3 linked regions of the Diceros bicornis minor genome follow. The protein of the gene in region 3 interacts with the protein of the main gene of each other region in a biochemical or structural test. Links are inferred from orthologs where the notes say so. Each region holds a gene or a part of one and is shown on either strand. Other genes may lie near its edges.

Region 1 (3,745 bases), on a different chromosome or scaffold from region 3:
TGCTGAAATGGAGCCTATAAAATGCCTTAGGGGCTTAAACTGTGTGTGAGGCAGAAATGGTATTTAAGCTCTTAATGAAACTATGAGCTTTGAAAGTGTTGTATTTTGGGTTTACGGGGTTTTCCTCCACTTCCCCTTTTCGGGAGGGTGGGAAATACTCTTAATACACGTTTATTACATTTATTGTCTTCTCTTTTAAAATACAGTTTTCATCAACTGGCGATTTATGAATACATTGCTTGAAGGCATCCGTAAACTTTGTGTGTTTTTCTCCAACTCTCAAAGCAGTTTCTTTCTACTGGTCTAATTCTCGCAGGCAAATATCCAGCTAATTATGTCTCTCGTTGCTTCAACGATCTTTCTCCAGAAAGTGAAAGTGAAGAGAAGAGAATAGAGAAGAAAAGAGCACGGAGGAGGAGAGAGGAAAAGTGGGGAGAGGAGGAAGGGAAAAACGGAGCGAGAAAAGGAAGGCGCCTGGAGCCCCGGAGCATTGATTGCGGACGAGCCGACCTAGAGCGGCCACAGCGCAGAGCCGCCGGCGCCCACTGGTCCCCGGAGCTGCCAATCGGGGCGTAATCCTGTAGGAATTTCTCCCAGGTTTGGCTGGGAGTCACACTGCCGCCTCCTCTCCCCCAGACGCCCGGAGGAGCTCGGAGAAGCAGGCTACGGAGGGAGGGAGGGAGCGGGAGGAGAAGAGGAAGAGGAGGAGGAGGAGGAGGAGGAGGACCCGGGGTGGGAGGCGGCCGCGCGAGAGGAGGAGGGGCGCAGCCGCTGAGCCACCAGCCCCGCTCGGACGCGCTTCCCTCCAGATACTCCGGGAGCTCCAGCCGCGCCGACTGCGCGCCCCCACCGCTCTGCCCCCAAACTTCATCTGCAGCTACATTCCAAGCCATCTAATTTATTCCTCAGAATCAGAAACTGAGCCGCGACACAGGGAAGGAGTCCGCGGAGGAGTAAAACACGAGCAAGAAGAGCTCCAGAGAGCAGCCGCCCGGGAGCGACACCTCAGCGTCGGGAGTGCAGAAACCAACAAGTGAGAAGGAGCCGCGTTCCGGGGCGCAGCCGCGGGCGGCGGGAGCAGGCGCAGGAGGAGCAAGCGAGCGCCCCGAGTCCGGAGCTCGAGCCCCCGAGCCCGAGCTGCGGTCGCTGCAGCTGGTGTGGTCCGGATTTGTCTGCGCGGCTGCGCCTGGCGCTGGGCAAGAGGCTTCGTTTCGCCCTGGTTGCAAGCGTCGGCTGGGAGCAGCCGGTCCCCGGGGAATATGCGGCGCGCTTGGATCCTGTTCACCTTGGGCTTGATGGCCTGCGTGTCGGCGGAGTCGGTGAGTGAGCCAGGCGGGGGACACGCGCGCCGTTTAGGGTGCTCGAGGCCGAGCGGAGTCTGCAGCGCCCTTGGGGAATCAGGGAGCGCCACCTGGGGGAGTCCACCTCCCCACCCCCAGACGCGGCGTTCGGCCCCCGGGATCTGCTGGGACAAACGCACTCGCTCTTCCACCCCTTTTCCCCTTCCCTTCCCGCAGAAAAGCGCCGCTCGCTGGAGTTGCCCCGAAGTCCCCGGGGATGAGGGCGCGAGAATCGCCGTTTTGTCTAACCGCAGAGGCCCCTGAAGTCACTCCCAACTTCTTCACCCTCGGAAGGGTCTTGTTGCCTGGCCCGGGAAGGACCGAGGGAAACGGTGGCCGGAGACGGGAGCCCGGGTAGGGCCTTCGAGGAAAGGGGTGCACCCTGCGCGCTCCCCAAGACCCAGGAGCAACCTGGAAACTTGGGGGTCCCTCCCTCCGCACACCATTCCCCCACGCCAGCTTATAATGGATTGAATGCAAGTGCTGGGGAGATGGGGCCCAGATTTAAGAAACCCGAGAGTGCCCGGAGAGGAAAGTTTGCAAAAGTTCTTTTGTTTGATGTTCCCCGTGGCTGGGGCGAGGTAGCAGACACTACGTGGAAACGCTACTCGCCGAGGCGCAGTCCGCGGTCCCGCGGGGGGTGCGCGGAACGCGACGGAAAATGCTGGGGCGCCGGCCGCTGGAATCCCAGCGCTACGGCGACCCCCTCCTCCTGGAGGCGCGGAGGGCGGCCGCGGGCCCTTAGGGGCAGGAGGACATTTTACTACGGATTGCTCTGGAGTGCAGCATGCGGGGCGAGGCGGGGTGCGTGTGACACTGCGCTTGGCCTCGGGTCGCCTGGCCGCTCGGGGACCGAGGCTTCCAGCCCGCCACCCTCGCCCTCGCGGGCCCAGGCGGGAGTGCATCCGAGGCCCGGAGGAGTCTCTTCTCCGGCGGCGGCCGGCTGCCGGCACCCAGCCTTCCTCCGCGGCCCGGGCTGTGGGAACTTGGTTTCTCCTCCTTTGGGTCCTGTTTGGAGCGTGTTTCCCTACATCGCCCAATGAGCGCCCTCTGAAGGGAACTGCCTCCTGGGCTTCTCCTTGTCGGTGGCGGCCCCTACCTGGGCACCCCGAGCTTTGTCCGGCTGGGTGGAAGCCCCTCACTGGTCAGCCCGCAGCCTCAGTGCCGTCTGGGGCCCCGGTTATGAAGGGCAGCTGTTTCTGTCCCTCCTCGTTCCCCATATCTCCTCCCTTGGCCGCCTGATAACGTCTCCATTTCTAAATAACTGAACTATCTCATTGAAGACACGTCATGTCACCTTAGAGGTGGTTTTGTGAAATTTTCCACCTCGCCTTTCTCCCTTCTCCCTTTATTTTTTGAGTTGATGCGATTTAGGATTGGGAAACCTCTTTGGCACTGAGCAGCAGATGGGTATTTTCATCAGTGTGGGAGCCTCTGTGTGCCGGCACATCCCCAAACGTTACCCGCGATTGGAGAGCACGCAGAATTGTAAACTGGACAGAGTAGATGAGTATTTGGGTGCTTAGGCTGTAAAACAGAACTCCGAGCCTTATCGGTATTTCTCCTCGGCAAATGATCATGTAATCCGTTGGGATTGGTAATCTCCCAGTCAGTTATGAACTTTGGCTCGTTGTACAAAAAAAGGGGGAGATGGTTCTGAAATAATGTTTCAGAAAAACATTATTGCTCATCTTGTTGTAAAGCAGGGCAAAGGGAGAACTCCATCTCAAGGTTTTGAAGAGAAGCCTGCCTAAAAAAGCTGTACAGGAGGTCCTTTTGCTGAGTCCTGTTCAGGGATTTGCTAAGAAATATTACTGTTTGGGGATGCTAGAGAAAGCGTATCTCTATCTTCTGCCTCTTTGGGTTTTTGTGGAAATCCGACAGCGCTCCTTAAGGCAGCTTTTTGGCTGAATTGTACCTGTCCTCCCCGTGACAACTTTCCTCTGAACTCAGTGTCTTGAGGGCTTTAATATTTCTCATTTCCAACCAAAATTGGCTGTTTCCCCCAGTGAGCTGCTTCACTGTGGTAGATACTGTTTTCAGTAATTGGAATATCATCCAAAAAGGTGATTAGATATTTTTAAAATGTCAACTTGGAGACTCGAGCAGAGTCTTTGTTAAGCAATGAGTCAGTCTTTCTCAATAGAAGCTGTTTCAAAGCCCAGGATGTCTAATAGTCCATTTAAGTTACTTTTCAGTCTCTGTTTCATGTATAGCAGCATAAATTTATGCAAAGTTGAAAGACTTAATTTTTCAACATTTAGCCATTATAGTACATTATTTCCAGTACTTCACATTTTAATTTGAAAACTGCAACTGTTTCCTGGGAGTCAGAAATAGTGATTGTCTGAGTTTAAAGCCTCTTTTTAAAAGGAAGAAAGGAAAAATGTCTCCAGTCAGTGAAT
Region 2 (3,745 bases), on a different chromosome or scaffold from region 3:
CCTGGATATACTAAGATCAGTTAAAATTAATCATCGTAAAATGGAAGCTAGACATAGTAAAGGTGTTAGGCATGAGTTTCAACTAAAAATGATGTAACAATATAAATATTAACAGAAAGCTTGAGTATCAACATAGTCTATAGAAAGAGAGTCTTAGTCATCACCCCACTATTAGTCACAGTGAGAAGAAAAAAATAATTCTGGAATGTAGGGCCCTGCTGACAGATCAAACGTGTTAAGGACATATCCGCAGTCACTCACAATGATGTTTATAAAGCATCTGTAGGTCAGTTTGTATTATCTGGGCGTGTTTGGTGCACATGTGTTTAAAGTTCTTCCTGAGATAATGTAATTCTGCTTTTCCCATTTTTGAGTTGACCGCTCCCTTCCCCTCTCTTTTCCCTCTCCTTTTCTTTTCCTCCTTTCTGCGCTGCCCAATTCTCAAAGCCTGTGTATGCTGCTAATGGGGTCGACAGAGGAACACAGTTTGGGGGTTGTGTTAAGGTATCATTCCACTTCTCTCCTGGTCCTTTCCCCCAACCCTCGCATATTAATATGTGATTTTCACTTGCCAAAGGGACCAAGTTTTCTGCAGCACCCAGCAATTTACATACAAACAAACAAACAAACAAAAAAACAAAATCAGGCCCGTCTCCGCGAGCCCCGCAGTACGACTCTCTTCCATACCTCCTCCTTTTAGGTATTCCTCTAGTCCTCCAGCCCCAACTCAGAACCCAGCCAGTCAGAAAATCCCTACTTCAGGAACGCCGCCCAATCCGGATGTCCTCACCTGCAGAAGGTGAGGAATTGGCTCCTTACGCGACAGTGTTCTGGGCCAATCAGAGGCGGCTCTGGCTTGGAAAGGCGCCAATCCGCCCCAGTGGGGAGTAGTGGGCGGAGTCCCACCTGGCGACGGTGAATCACTCAACCGAGCGGCGGCTGCCTCCACCAATCGGAATGTGCAGGGGCGGGGCGCCGACCAATCGGGCGTGGAGGGAAGGGCCGGGCGAGGCTCAACCTGGCGGCTGGAGTTTAGTCCTCGCGCTGCAGTGGGTGAAGCTGTGTCTGTCCCAGGGCTCTGGCGGCCGCTGTCGTTTCGGGATCCTGATCGTGATGGGGACAAAGGCGAAAGCCGGGAAGAAACAGTTGCTTCTCTTCACATCAGTGATTCTGTGTAAGTTCCCGGAGTTTCGGGAGGAATCGGTGGGTCGGGTCAGAGGTTGGAGGGAGGCACTCCCCACGCTCTTTGCCCACGGGAGGGGAGGAGTTCAGAAACTTGCCAGCCTCCTAGTCCTGTTTTCCACCTCTGGCTCCTTTCTCTTCTTTCCCCTCCCCCTCCCCCTAGTGAGTGGCTGGCTCCCCTCCCCCATATCAGTGAGTTGTGACCTCTCCCCTTACATCCACCCGGAGAGAGCTGCCCCTTCCGCACTTACACCAAAAATAACGGGGAGGGGTTGGTTCCACTTTCCCCCATCCTCACATACTGGTGAGGGCCGATGGGCGCGAGGGCCCTGCCCACGTACGTCTCCCCAGCCATCCCCCTCCACACGCACCTGGGAAGGGCATTCTGCCTCTCCAATACGCCTCCAACGTCTGCGAGCAACCCAAGAGAAGTCATGGGCCTCTCACCCCCTGACTTCCTTGGCCCTGGATGCTCTGCTCCTGGAGGGTCCTCAGAGAAAATCTAGTGGAGGTGGGGTGAGGTGGAAGTCTCTTTCCCTGGCTGCTCCTGAAGGGGTCTCTTTAGCTCCCCCTGATCTTTGGTTTGCCGTGGTTGCTCTGGAAAAGTGTCTGGGTGCAAACTCTGAAGAGGAAATAAGACTGAAATCTGAAATTTCTCAGAGCACAGCATTCAAAGTTTCTTTCTGGAATAACTGCCTTAAGAGTCCTTAATAAATATTGTTGACTGAGTGACTATTCCCAGGAGGAGGAGGACCTGTCTGTTGGTTGGCTGGATCCTTCTCACAGTGAGAACTCTGCCCTACCCCTGGCCGTGTATGAGAGTGTTTGTTTCTTTTGTAAACTCCCTTTTCTGTGGAACAATGAGGCTGGCTTGCTGGGTCATGCCTCTGACTATAGATGTGTTTGTACCGGGCTGAGTGAAAGGTTTATGCCTTGGTCAGTCAACCTGTGTCAGCACCTGTACAGGTGTCCGTCTGCTTCTTGAGTGTCTGTGCGTGTGCTTATGTGGATAGTTGTGTCAGTATGTCTTCTGTAGGAATCGCTGTTTTTTCCTCAGGGTCCATATTTTAGGAAGTGTAAAAGAAATGAACATTTACAATCAATATCGGTGATTATAAGGCATTTCATTTTGCTCAGTTTTGAAGGGTGGAAATAGATTCCCTGCCCTGAAACAGATGGATTGACTAGTCCTTTGTCCCTTATCACAAAGACGTAAACCCTTTGGGTGGAGTGGACCAGAGGCAAGTCTAATCCTCTCTATTGTACAGATAAGGAAACAGGTCCTAAGAGAGGAGATGACTTTTCCAGATTGACAAAAGGTCCCGGGAATGGAACCAAAGTCTCCTGACTCCATTATCCTTTTTCCACTCCTGGATCCAGCATCTTAGGGACCCTATGGCACAGGAACCATGATATCAAACATCAGTTTGGAATACTGTCCACTATCTTACTTACTTTTTTCCATTTTTCTTTCCCACTAGATTCTTTATTCTCCCACTTCTCCCTTTCATTCTACTCCTTCATCCCCCGCCCCCTTGTTTTTGATTTCCTTTCTTTTCCTACCCCCACCCTTACTTCTGCCTGTATCTTAGAACTGCAAGTGACACCCATGGTCATTTTTTGGTTCTGTGTGGCTCAGCACTAAAGACTTTGCCAACCCTTGTACTGTGCTAGTACTTTTCCCCCACAAACCTAGAAGTTTCTGAGTCAGAGACTCTATTTGTGACAGTACTTGTCAGGCTTGTAAGCTTCCTGGAGCTGCATCTTGCTCCCCTTCCCTCTTCTTTTCTTTCCCTCTAATTTTCTATATTGTGATAATCACACAATAATCACATACTGGCACTGATGGCACCATTCTGAGCTTGGGGATGTCCTCTAGTCTGTTCAGGGAATCAAGAAACAGTGGTTCAGAGGGAGCCTAAGATGATGTTTTGTAAGCATGGCAAGACAGTGGGTCCTGGGAAGGGGTGGAGGAACTGATCTTGTCACATTTAAATCAGGATAGAGCTGGGGGGAAGTGATTTGATTAGTATAATGAAGATGGGACTAGGAGCAAGGTCACCCCACTAGGGTTCTAGCTTGGCTTTCTGCTTTCTTTGTGATCTTCGGCAAAGTAGCTCAGTCTTTTCATCTGTAAAAAAGAGTAATAATACTTGTTCTAAACCTGTCCTGAGGACGAACCGGGCTAATAGCCACATTACGTATACATGAAGGGATTATTTATTATTAGGCAGCTGTTATCCCCTTTGAATTTTGTGAGGATGAAAGAATACTGTGTCTGGTAGAGTAGGTCAGAGAAAGAAGAGAGAGACCCTGATAGATCCCAAATGGCAAGAGTCAAAAAGCAGAGGCTTGCTCTTGAGCATCTAGTCTGTCCTCTGCCTTTGGGATATTGAAAGTATATACAGAATGCCCATGTGCTCTCCCTCCTCCCTCCAGGGCTCCTCCTCATTGTGGGCTCTGCCATCAAGGAGGAAGAAGAAAGAGTAAGATATGATCAACAAGTCAAGCAGAGGCCCAGCCGCAGCCTGGGGATGCTAGTGGAAAGGAAGGCCTGAGCCTG
Region 3 (3,745 bases):
AAACAGAAATCTTCATATTGAATACAACCTAGCACAGCGGCAACACCCAGAACCTTGCTCCCTGGCTGACCCTGTGCATCCACTCCTTCTAGTTGCATTTTTATCCTGACATATCTAACATTTATAGGGAGTTTAGGGAGCAGAGTAGATGCTGGGGGGCTTGGGGGCCTGTGGGGGGGAGATATACAAAGGGGCTTAAAGTTTCTGTGTGTCTCTGCCTTCCTGACCTCTATCGAGGCTGTCTCTAGTAGGGCAGGCGCTGGATAGATATTTGTTGTGTTTGGGGCAGAATGCAGGAGAAGCTGTCTCTATAAATTGCCATTTGTTGTCGCACGCCTTCCTGGACAGTTTTTGTTTGGTCCTTTACTCGTAGGTGGACGACCTCCCTTCCCCAGCCATTTTCACTAAGGAATGACAGAGTAGCTCTAAAAGCATCCGCCGCCCAGCACGGTCTGGAGTGACAACCTTGCCACCTCTCCTCTTGCTTTCCCATTCATTAGGACCCTTTCCCAGCCTCTTTCCCCAGCAACAACTGGGAAAGGCTTCCTGCGGTTACAAAACAAGCGGGGGAGCGGCTGAAGTTCCGAGTCTTTCGCCGCAGAGAGCTAAGAACGTGCGTTCAGTAGTGGACCTTTTGTCCCCAGCCCCTTCACCGGCTTGGTCGCGGAGGTGACGACCCCGACCAGCCCCCGCCTAAGCAGCTGCCGCCGGCGCGCCCCTGCGGGCCAACTCCCCGCCCCTTCTAGATTCCCGGCGCCTTCCCATTTTGCCGTGACGTGGCCGGCGGCGCGCGCATGCGCCGCTCAGCCCCGTTTCCTTTCCCTCGGCCACCGCCTCCCGACTGGCTGGGGTGGGCGGGGCCTGTGGTTCGGGAAGCCTCGCGGCCTTAGGGGGAGGAGGGCGTGTGTGCGCGAGGCGGGTGCGCGGGGCGCGCGAGCTGGTCGGCGGCTGAGGCGGAGGAGGAGGAGCTGAAGGAGGCGGCCGGGGCTCCCGCCCGCAGAGAGAGCCAGTCCCGCGAAGCCCCCTCCCACTCCCAGGCGGGCGGTGGCGGCGGGAGGAGGAGAAGGAGGAGGGAGCGTCTCTGCCGCCGCCTCCTGGTCCCCAGCGCTGATCTGCCGCCGCCACCTCCCTCCGCGGCGATCCTCCCTCCATGGTCCTGCCGCGGCCCCCTCTGTAGCCCGAGCTGCCCCACGCCGCGCCGGAGCCAGCCTCAGCAGAGGGAGCGGTCGCGGCCTCGCGGCCCGCGCGGGCTGACGAGCAGAGAGCGCGGCGCCGCGCGGTCCCCGAGGATCCGCACGCCGGGCAGCGCGGCCCGAGCAGCGCGAGGAGCAGCGGGCGGGCGGGCGGCGCCGGGCCCGGGCCGCCCTCGCTCCCGCGCCCCGGCCCCGCCGCCCGCGCCGGGGCGGTCGCCCGCAGAGGAAGGCGCCGCAGTCTCCGGGCCTCGCAGCCCCGCTCGAGCGTCCTCGGCTCCGAGGGCTCGCGGGTCCTGAGGGGAGGAGGCGAGCCAGGGGCCGGGCACTGAGCTCTTTGGCGCCCCCACCCCCGTTTTCGGAGCCCTCCACGCTGCGGCCGCTGTCCCCTCCGGACCATGGCCGACGACGACGTGCTGTTCGAGGATGTGTACGAGCTGTGCGAGGTGATCGGCAAGTGAGTCTTCACGCGAGGGAGCGGGAGTGTGGAAAAATGCATTTCAGTGATGCCCGGGTCCTCCCGCGCCCGCACCCGTTCCAGGCCTGCCCCCTGCCCTCCCTCCCCTCCGCCTCCCTTGTCCTCCTCACCCGGGAGTATTTATAGACGTGTACCTGGACCTTCTGCCGGGCGGGGGTCTGGGGGGGGTTCTCAGCGATCCGTGGAGGCGAACGAGCCGAGGTCAGCCACCCCATGAGGCGTGGGGCCGGCTGAAATCTGCTGTCTGCATTTTATCTGACGGTTGCACAGGGACGTGGCAGAACCGATTTTATAGTTGCTTCCTGGGAACAGTTGGGGTTATTGTTATCTCGCGTGTGGCACAAACCATTAACGAAAAGAGCAGCTTGCGTTTCCTTTACTTGCGTGGAAAGATAGAGAAAGAACGTCCAGGATTTTTAATTGTGGGGTGTGTGTCTATTGTGCAGGATATTAGATAGATGCCTTTGTGTTCACCCCTTGCCCGGATTGGAGGGGGTCATTTAAGACGGGGTGCGTTCAGTTTCAGCGAATTCCTCGCCTGGTATAGACGAACGTGGAAAGAGTTGGGGGTAGCCGAATTTTTAATGCCTCGTTATGCAATGACTGTAAATCAGTGTTCGAGTCTTCCCTCGACTGTTGTTGGGATGGTGGTTAGCGTGGTAGAGCCGTCTGCTTTGAGTCACCGGGCTGGTCTAGAATATAGAACTGACAGTCCAAATGCTCATCCTTTCATCTGTGTTGTATAATTACACTAGGGAAAAGCAGAGAATCAGATTAATCACAGTGCTGATTGAGAATTAAATCTGCAGTTCCTCATCTAATTGTCCATTCCTTAAATCTGTTTTGAATAGTTTCCTTTTCATTCTTGTCAAACAGTATTCCAAGTGCACAATCCTGCTAATTTGCTTGTGAAGGAAATGCTGGCGATCTGAAGTTGATTTCCTAGTTCAATGTGTATTCTGTGGCTTTGGAAGTTGAGGAGATAAGATTTAAGAGCAATTTTTGCTTATTTATTAAGGATTGCTAGATAGCTGCCATTGAAATATTTTACCTCATTTTGGAAGCGGTGCTTTATTGTCTGTTTTAAGGTCCGCAGTTGGGAAATGAAACCAAGACCTTAGAGCAGTTGGCTCGCTCTCTTTCAAGTTGTCTGCAGTACTGAATTTCAATTTGTTTAAGTGCTGATAAATCATTTTTTTCTTCCATGTTGAGGTATTTCAGTGTTGCCTCACTTGGTGAAATTGTGAGTAGAGCTTGCTACACACTTTCCTCAGACCCAGTTGATGCAAGGACATGTTACTCCTTGCCTCTATTGTTACATGACCAGCCTGTCTACTAGAAGAAGGAAATCCAAATGCACCCTGACAAAGTGGTTGTGGAAGTGCTCTAGAGCAGTGCTGTCCAAAAGCTATATAATGCCAGCTGCGTATGTAATTTTATATATGTAAATATTACATATGTAAATTTTCTAATAGCCACATTACAAAGATTAACAACAGAGGTGCAGTTAATTTTAATAAAATATTTTATTTAACCCAATAGATCCAAACTATTATCATTTCAACATGTAATCAGTATAGAAATTATTAATGAGATATTTTACATCCTTTCTTTCTTCTTTGAAATCCAATGTGTATTTTACACTAATAGCACATCTCAATCCTCATACAAAGCTAAATTTTCTTCAGAAATACTTGCTCTGTGTTTAGGTTTCATAAAATTTGCATTTGCAAAAGTAGATTCACATACCCAAGTTGTTCCAAACATACCTAAAAGTTTTCTGGTAACTGAATCGAGTATCTCTTTCTAAATTAAAATTTAAATTAGTTAAAATTAAATAGAATTACAAATTCAGTTCCTCAGTTGGACTAGCCACATTTCAAGTGCTCGATAGCCATATGTGAAGAGCACAGTTCTAGAGACAAATGTGTCAAAAAATCTCCTTGTTTTCTTCTTAGCACCCAGTGAAGGTAAATTAGGTGTTTCTCAAAAGCCCCTAAATGATTGTGTGTGTGTGGGTGAATGATGTTTGTTGTGTCTTAGTTATTTTTCATTTAAATGAGCCAGCAAAGTCATA

The links.
Region 1: the proteins of CASK (region 3) and SDC2 form a complex in vitro, tested with the Homo sapiens proteins (2 studies listed by BioGRID and IntAct, with this or other methods). The link is inferred for Diceros bicornis minor from reciprocal best matches to the Homo sapiens genes CASK and SDC2.
Region 2: the proteins of CASK (region 3) and F11R form a complex in vitro, tested with the Homo sapiens proteins (2 studies listed by BioGRID and IntAct, with this or other methods). The link is inferred for Diceros bicornis minor from reciprocal best matches to the Homo sapiens genes CASK and F11R.

What each region holds. Positions count from the first base shown.
Region 1 is NC_080760.1:15,627,466-15,631,210, forward strand, and holds the start of SDC2 (syndecan-2), read left to right. Parts: upstream 1-841; 5' UTR 842-1,259; coding exon 1,260-1,319; intron 1,320-3,745. UniProt on the Homo sapiens protein: Cell surface proteoglycan which regulates dendritic arbor morphogenesis.
Region 2 is NC_080743.1:67,618,140-67,621,884, reverse strand, and holds the start of F11R (junctional adhesion molecule A), read left to right. Parts: upstream 1-942; 5' UTR 943-957; coding exon 958-1,174; intron 1,175-3,745. UniProt on the Homo sapiens protein: Seems to play a role in epithelial tight junction formation. Appears early in primordial forms of cell junctions and recruits PARD3.
Region 3 is NC_080781.1:36,526,926-36,530,670, reverse strand, and holds the start of CASK (peripheral plasma membrane protein CASK), read left to right. Parts: upstream 1-1,023; 5' UTR 1,024-1,588; coding exon 1,589-1,647; intron 1,648-3,745. UniProt on the Homo sapiens protein: Multidomain scaffolding Mg(2+)-independent protein kinase that catalyzes the phosphotransfer from ATP to proteins such as NRXN1, and plays a role in synaptic transmembrane protein anchoring and ion channel trafficking.